2 linked regions of the Sus scrofa genome follow. The protein of the gene in region 2 interacts with the protein of the main gene of each other region in a pairwise test. Links are inferred from orthologs where the notes say so. Each region holds a gene or a part of one and is shown on either strand. Other genes may lie near its edges. The genes, in order: VDR and CCND3.

Region 1 (3,809 bases), on a different chromosome or scaffold from region 2:
CATCCTTAAACTAGAAACAAGTGCATTTATTTTTATTATTTTTTTATGGCCGCACCCAAAGCATATGGAAGTTCCCAGACTAGGGATTGAATCTGAGCCTCAGGTGCAGCCATGCTGGACCCTTTAACCCACTGTGCCAGTTCACACCTCTGCAAGCCGCTGCAGTTGGATTCATAACCCACTGTGCCACAGCAGGAACTCCACAAGTTCCTTTCAATGTTGATACCAGTATTTGTAAAGATGCAGGGAATCAGGCAATCCTTGTGCAGTGCTGGTGTACTAAAGGAGGCATAAATTTGTGTAAGTAATCTGGAAAGTTATTGGACCATGAGGGTCCAAAGCCTACAACTATGTACACACTATGACCAGTAATCCTACTTCCATGAATTCAGCACAAGGAAAAGTTCAGAGCAAGTGCAAATATTTAGCCACCAGCATGCTGTTCACTTAATAACAAGCTGGGAAAAAGAAAAATCCACGTATCCAAGGAGAGGAGATTTAGATATGTTATTGTACATTATACTGCAGAATACTAAGCAGTCTTTAAAAATTATACTCTAGGCGTGTAGTGGATGGCATGAAAATATGACATAATACACTATTAAGAGAAAAAAGCAAGTTGGCAGGCTAAGTATGGCATGATTCCATTTCTGAATATACATATGTATTAAAACTTGGGAAAAAGATATATCGTAGTGTCAGTAGTGATTATTTTGGGGTGGTGTGATGAAAGATTATATAATATATGTAATCTACATAATTTAGTTTCTATTTTCTGAATGTCTATAATGAACATGTATTACCTTCATATAATAATTAAAAAAATAAAAAATGTTAATTAGTTTGAATTTTTAAATAAACATATGCTACATTGAACATACCATGGCGGAGGGGGGAGCTCCTCAAATTAACCAATGAGAGGGAGTCAAAACTTCTAAATAAAACCATTAAAAGTTGAAGTACAGACCAATGTATCACATGCAGACTGGCCCTCATTGATTAAAATGAATATACCAGCAAGTAAAAGGAGCAGGAAGGTGGGTTGAGAAAATTAACACTGGGGAGAGGTTTCTACAAGGTGAGGGGCTCAGAGGATGAGTTACCCGTGTGGTGGTAGTGCAGGTGAGTGGACATGACAACCAGCTCCTCTGCCATCTCTGTCCACCTGGTGCATGGACCCTTCCCACCTACTCTGGATCCGGGCACAGACCCATAAATGAACCGAGAAGTACCCTGTCTGAGGGTTCTAGTTCCATAGAAGGGAGGGGGCTTTTCCATTCCTGCCCTCCCACAGGCCCCAAGCAAAGGGCAGTTGGGTTGGGTGAAGGATGAAGGCAAGGGCAGCTGGTAAGGCAGGAAGATAAAGAGGAAGGCAGAAAAGGACCATAAGAAAAAAGCAAAGATGAACTAGAAGGAATAGGTCATCCAGGGCCTTACTGGCCCCCCCGGGGATTGAGGGGAAGATGGGCTGCGGTGGGATCCACATCTCCTTCCATGCCAAGTTTCACTCTGCAAAGACACAGGGTCTGATGACTGTAGTTAACAATACAGTTTATTATATTTGAAGGTTGCTAAGGGAGTACATCTCTAAGTTATCACAGAGGAGAAAAAAAAAACAACTTTGTAGGAGTTCCCTGGTGGCTCAGTGGGTTAAGGATCTGGCGTTGTCGCTACTGTAGTATGGGTTCGATCCCTGGCTCAGGAACTTGCCCTTGGCTCATGCATGGCCGAAAAGGAAATAAAATAAAAATCTTTGTAACTATGTGAGATTAACTAAACTTACTGTGGCAATCATTTTGCAATGTATACTTCTATCAAATCATTATATCGTACACCTTAAACTTACACAATGTTATGTCAGTGACATCTCAAGAAAACTGGGGAAAACAAAACCAAACACCAAACAAAAGAAAAACCCCAAAGGCCCAGGCTCAAAATACCATTTAGAGGAACCAGGTCGCTCCCAGGGAAGGAGCCAGGGGCAGAAGGCTGGCTTAGAGGAAAGCAAATTGACTCTACAGGCAGACCCCCCACCACCACCACAGCTTGGCCTCTTCCTCAGTGTCCTCAGTGTGGACCCTCGTGTGCATTAAAAAGAGGTTGTTCTGAGGACGCCGCACAGCACAGAGTGCTGCCCATCCAGCCGCAGCCAAGGTCAGGGGTCTGGGGAAGCTCCGGGCTCTTGGGGAGGGGGCGGTAGCCCCACTTACCTGGAGAGGAGGTGTATTGATCTGAGCAGGAAGAGGACGAGCTTCCGGAGAAGCTGGGCGCATGCGCGGAGGAAGACCTGGAGGGGAGGGTCCCTTCCTCCTCATCCCCGCGAACCGGAGGCTGGAAGGGAGAGGTAGAGTGTCAGAAGCTCGTATTTGGAGGCCCCCTTCCTGCCTCAGCTCTGACCTCCGACAGGATTGGTTTCACGGAGGGTCTATGGGAGGGGTCCCCAGGCTAGGGGTCGAATTGGAGCTGTAGTCACTGGCCTATGCCACAGCCACAGCAACGTGGGATCTGAGCGGCGTCTGCGACCTACACCGCAGCTCCTGAACCCACGGAGCCTGGCCAGGGATTGAACCCACGTCCTCATGGGTACGAATCAGGTTCATCACCACTGAGCCACAACGGGAACTCCCCTTCCCAGGTTTTGTGCGGGGATCCCCCTGCCCTCTAGCCCACTTGCCAGCCCTGCTCATGCTCCCGGCCAGCGGGTGGACGTACCCGGAACTGGCCGAAGTCAGCATAGGTGGGGTCATAGGTCTTGTGGTGGGCGTCCAGCAGGATGGCGATGATGCGCTGCTGCTCCTCCGACAGCTTAGGCCGCAGACTGTCCTTCAAGGCCTCCTCCTCCTTCCGCTTGAGGATCATCTCCCGCTTGCGCTGCACCTCCTCGTCCGTCAGGATGACTGTGGGGCGGGGAGGGGCGAGTCAGGGGGGCCGGGCCTGCACCGCCTCTGTGGAACCTCCCTCAGGGCGCAAAGGCACGAGGTGTGAGGGGGACGCCAAGGCCACGAGACGGATGGACCATCAGTGTTGCACGTTGAAAGGCAGGCTCGGCAGAGAGGAGGAAACAGGATGTGGGAGGTGGGACGGTGGGGAGCCTGGGATCTCAAGGACAAGGTGTCTGACTCTGGACAAACTGAACTCTGCAGGTTTTTGTTTGCTTTTTTCTAAAGTGAGACATTTGGACCATATGATCTCTCTCTTTTTTGTTTTGGGCCACTCTGTGGCATATGAGGTTCCCAGGCCAAGGATAAGGTCTGAACTGCAGCTGTGACCTACACTGCAACTGCAGCAACATGAGATCTTTTTTTTTTTTGTCTTTTCGGTTTTATTTTAGGGCTGCACCAGCGGCATGTGGAGATTCCCAGGCCAGGGGTCCAATTGGAGCTGTTATCGCCGGCCTATGCCGGAGCCACAGCAACGCCAGATCCGAGCTGTGTCTGCGACCTACACTACAGCTCATGGCAACGCCGAATCCTGAATCCACTGAGCGAGGCCAGGGATCGAACCCGCAACCTCATGGCTCCTAGTCAGATTCCTTTCCACTGTGTCACAACGGGACCTCCAATCCTTTAACCCACTGTGCAGGGCTGAGGATCTAAGTTGCATCCTGCTGCCACCGAGACGCTGCTGATCCCGTTGAGCCACAGTGGGAACGATGGAAGTTTGGACCATATGATCTCTTCCAAGTCCTTTTTTTGTTCCCTCCTTCATAAAGTGGGTGTAGGTGGAGCACCAGACTGTTCTGGGATCTGAATGCAGGCCTAGCACAGAGCAGATCCTCTTCCTCCCCCCTCCTCCTTTTCCCTGACCCT
Region 2 (4,347 bases):
TCACTTTGCTAGGTTCTTCTTTTTGTTTTTGTCTTTTTGCCTTTTCTAGGGCTGTTCCTGTGGCATATGGAGGTTCCCAGGCTAGGGGTCTAATCAGAGCTGTAGCCACCGGCCTACACCAGAGCCACAGCAACACGGGATCCAAGCCGCGTCTGCGACCTACACCACAGCTCACAGCAACGCCGGATCCTTAACCCACTGAGCAAGGCCAGGGATCGAACCCGAAACGTCATGGTTCCTAGTCAGATTCGTTAACCACTGCGTCACAAGGGGAACTCCACTAGGTTCTTCTTTTTCTTAAATCCTAATACTCTCTCAAGACAGAGCACAGATGTTTGGTTGACTCAGAAGGCCCCTTGTTTCCTGGTACTTACAGCTCTGCAGCATCTCTGTCAGTGTTTCCACAGATGCTTTCTCAGCGCTCTCAAACCCTGCCTCTGTTAACAGGGAGCTCACAACCACTTGCAGAGTTCGCCTCCGGGCCAGATGGTAGTTATCAGCAGGGTTAGTGGACTGTTTACTTCCTGATCTCTGTAAATCAGCAGCCCAGAAAGAGAATACTTTCATCCTCAGGACGAGGATGCAGTCATGTAGTTCACATATTGTCAATGGCAAACAAAGGTTCTTTTGCTAAATCTTTATGTATCAGTGTGGTAGCTCCTGATGTTTAGACTTACAGCTCTTCGCCAAATAACTGAGCACCCAAGTGGCTCTAAATTCGAAAACAGCCTTTCTGCCTAGGTAAAACTTATCAATTACAATAGTACAAAATGGCCGTTTCCTACTTTCTATTTTGGATTATCTGAATATATAGCTGAAGAAACATGCAGGATAGAATTGAATTCATTGGTCCATCTCCTAGAAAAAAAGTAATCTCTCTTTTGTCCCTCCCATCTCCACACCATTAACGAGGAAAATTAAAACAACAAACAACACATGCTGCTGAGTAGAGGAGGGCAAATGATAAGAACATCGACAAATTAAAAAGCTAAATATTTTGAAACAGGAATCCCTCCCAACTTTGGCGGGCCAATAAGAAGGCGAAAAGAGCCCCACTGGACCAATCAGGAGGTGTTCCGGGTTCCCAACCCCCAACAGAGAATGAGCCAATCAGTACACAGGTCCACCAACTCCCGAGGCCGCCGCCAAGTCTCGAGGAGGAGGAGGGGGGCATATACGGCCTGAAAGACCTTCCTCCACTCAGAGCATGTGGTGGGGCCCTATTTCTGGGTGTGAACATGTTGCCAAGGCTAGGGGGACATTACAGAATCCCCAGGCTCTCTGGGCTTCCGCCCCGCGCCTCCCGCCCTTACCGTTCCGGAGGCCCCGGCCCCGGCAGTGGCCGCCGCGTCGGCCATCTTGCTCTGGCGTAATGTGCGCGAGCGCACGGCAGGATGGGACTTGTAGTCACCCGGCGGGGAGGAACCGCGAGGGGGCGGGGCCGCGCGCCCCGTTGGGCTTTGTGGGGCCCAGCCGGGTCGGGGGTGAGTCTGGTTATCCCGGTTCACGTGACCTGTGAACGGTGGGTTCAGCGAGCCCCGGAAGTGGCTAGGAAAATGAGCCCTCGGTTTCACACCTATTTAAAAACGAAATCGTTTTTCATAAAAAGCACATCCCTGGAACGCTCCAAACTTGCCTGATTGTTAGCCACACCTGGCTAGGTCCGGCGGATCCCCGTGACTTTACTCTCTGGAGGAGGGGTCTTGGGCATCTGTATTCTTAAGTTCTCCAAGTGAGTCTCCTGAGCCTGGATATTTGGGGAAGCTTTGTTTTGTGCTGACGGACCCAGAGCCAGCCAATGGCCCACTTGGAACGAGAGCCAGCAGTCACGTAATCCAGGTGTGCCACTGCATCCGGCTGCCTTCTCGCCCTCAATTAACCCTCAGGTATTTTTGGGGCGAGCCGGGAGGCGTCGGCGGTAGGAGGCTGTCCGGTGCCTGCCTCACTCCCAGGCCGTGGAGTCTACGTAGTGCCTGTGGTTTTCTGCGGTTCACTCGCGGGTCAGCCCCTCTGGATGGGGGTCCTTCATGCACCGCGCCTCGTCTGTCTCCGTTTGCGGGTGCCCGGCAGCTCGCAGAGGCTGGGTTTGAATCTCAGCACTCGCCAGCTGTGGGACTTCGGGCAAATTACCTAACCTCACTTTGCCTCAGTTTCCTCTTTCGTGAAATTAGGGTGGGATGGGTAGCCGCGGGGGAGGGAATAAGCTAATATACACAGAGTTTATCACTGTGCAGACTGAGAGTAAGAGGTCAAGAAGCAGCGCCTAATGTTATTTATTTCTTGCGTGGCGAGTGGATGAGCAGAAAACGCTCACATGCAGAAGTCGGGGAAACCTGCGCCACGCCTGCCCCGCCGCGCGCACCTGAGCGTGGGGGGCGCCCGGTCCCCTCACCTGGGGCACAGGGGGCAGGTCTGACGGTCGGGGTCGCTGCGCGGGGTGAGCCACCCGGAGAAATCGGGCCCCAAACCTGAGTTGAGCAGAGCACCCAGCCCCTTTGTCTCCTCCGCCCCCCCTTCCCCACTTCCTGCCCAGCTTTAAACTCGGGATTGGCGGCGCGGCGCCGACTTTGTAAACACGCCGCGCCTGCGGCGGTGGAGACTGGTTCTGTTTGGGCGTCTGGGGGAGGGGTGCACGCCCCTCCCCGCGGCTGGAGGTGGCGACCCCCCACCTCGCCAAAGACAGAAACCAGAGGCGGCGGCGGGAGAGTGTCTGCGGCCACGGCCAGTGCTCCGGGGGGCTCACCTGCCGAGGAGGTAGGCTTGAAGGCTGGAGAAGCCAAGATAGATGGGTGTCAGCATCTCCCCGCTTCGCTGGGGCCTTCGAGCTGAGGCGGGACACCTGGGCGGGGAGTCGGAGGTGGCGACCTGATCAGCCTCCTCGATGTCTCTCAAAGCTCGGTTCACTTTCTCTCTGAGTTGCAGAGGCTGAAAGGCAGAGAGCTCCCCCAAAGCTCTGAACTTTCTCTGTGTCCACACAGGCCCTCTTCAAACTGATCTGGAAGCCTAGTGACTTCACTGGGCTGTCTGTCGTCCTTCTTCATAATTCAGAGATGGGGTGGGAGGCAGTAGGGGGGCAGACCCAGTGTGGGCAGCGAGCCTTGGGGGTCCTCCTGCCAGCCAGGGCTGAGGGAGGAGGCCAGAGGACTGGAAGGAGGAGCCTCTCAGTGGGGGTCCCTTTGGTGTCTGCGGGTTACACAAGTGACGGCTTTAGCCTCTTCTGTGTCTTTTAATGTGTCAACAAGAGGATTAACTGAGGAAATTGGTTGCTATTATTCAGAAAGCATTACGGTATTCATTTGCACACATTGAGCGCCTAGTATGTGTCTGGGATGGTGTGTGGGCGCTGAGGGTGCAGTGATGTTATTTGTCCACAGTGATCTAGCCTGGGTCATAGAACACCAGAGATAAGGTGCCAGGTTGGGGTGGCTGGGAAGGCTTCAGAGAGAAGAGGACATTTGAGTTGGCTTCTGAATGATGACTAGTCCCCAGGCAGAGGTGTGATGGGAAGTCTTTGCTGGGCACTTATTGATTCTGCAGAGCTGGACTCGCCCCTGACTGTGGCATTGGGCCTTGGAAAACAGTGGGCACCCAGAAGCCGTCTCGGCATTCTTTAACCCACTGTCTAGACATGAAGAAGAGATAGGAATGTAACAGGATGACTTTAGGGAAAGGCATGTGTCCGGGCTGGTCCCCAAGAACCCAGAAATTTCCAGCTGGACGAAGCTAGGAGAGTCCACCCCAGGGGTGATGTAACAGTCCACACAGTCCTGGGGCACCACCCACTCCCCGTCCCTGGATGCTGGGACTGCGTCCTCTACCAAGTCCTTGCACTGTGCCCTTTCTCTTTGGGACCAGAGAGTGAAGAGAACTGGATTCCCCCCATGCTTCCCTGTAGGTTCTTCTGCTTTTTCAGTCCCCAGGCTCCCTTGGGAGATGGCTGACACAGCAATGGATTCAACCATCCAACACCTGTTTGCTGTGGCCACACTGTCTGCACAGGACATAATGGTTGACAAGTCAGAGCCTCTGCTCCCCTGGACTTTAGGATCAAAAGCGACTCTGAGAATTCCAGCAGGAACCTAGTCTGTCCGGTCCTTGAGCCCATGACCTCCGAGTGTCTTCTCTTTGCCATTTCCTTCCCTAAAGGGTCCAGAGCAACAGCTAGGGCTTCTATAGCACTGTCAAGTACCCTCCTAAATGGTTTTGGTGTGATGTCTGGTTTAATTCTTCTGCCCGTCCTGTGAGGTGAGCGCTAGGATCATCTCCATCTTCTCGTTGAGGAAACAGGCACAGCGACCATTTTCCTAAAGAGGACACCAGGCGTAAATGGCAGGGCTGGGATTTGAA

Evidence for each region.
Region 1: the proteins of CCND3 (region 2) and VDR interact in a two-hybrid assay, tested with the Homo sapiens proteins (2 studies listed by BioGRID and IntAct). The link is inferred for Sus scrofa from reciprocal best matches to the Homo sapiens genes CCND3 and VDR.

What each region holds. Positions count from the first base shown.
Region 1 is NC_010447.5:78,217,873-78,221,681, forward strand, and holds part of VDR (vitamin D3 receptor), read right to left. Parts: intron 2,898-3,809; coding exon 2,713-2,897; intron 2,332-2,712; coding exon 2,211-2,331; intron 1-2,210.
Region 2 is NC_010449.5:37,179,570-37,183,916, reverse strand, and holds the start of CCND3 (G1/S-specific cyclin-D3), read left to right. Parts: upstream 1-1,454; 5' UTR 1,455-1,839; exon of another isoform or gene 1,840-4,347. Other genes in the region: TAF8 (transcription initiation factor TFIID subunit 8), read right to left, coding at 375-531, 1,314-1,358. UniProt on the Homo sapiens protein: Regulatory component of the cyclin D3-CDK4 (DC) complex that phosphorylates and inhibits members of the retinoblastoma (RB) protein family including RB1 and regulates the cell-cycle during G(1)/S transition.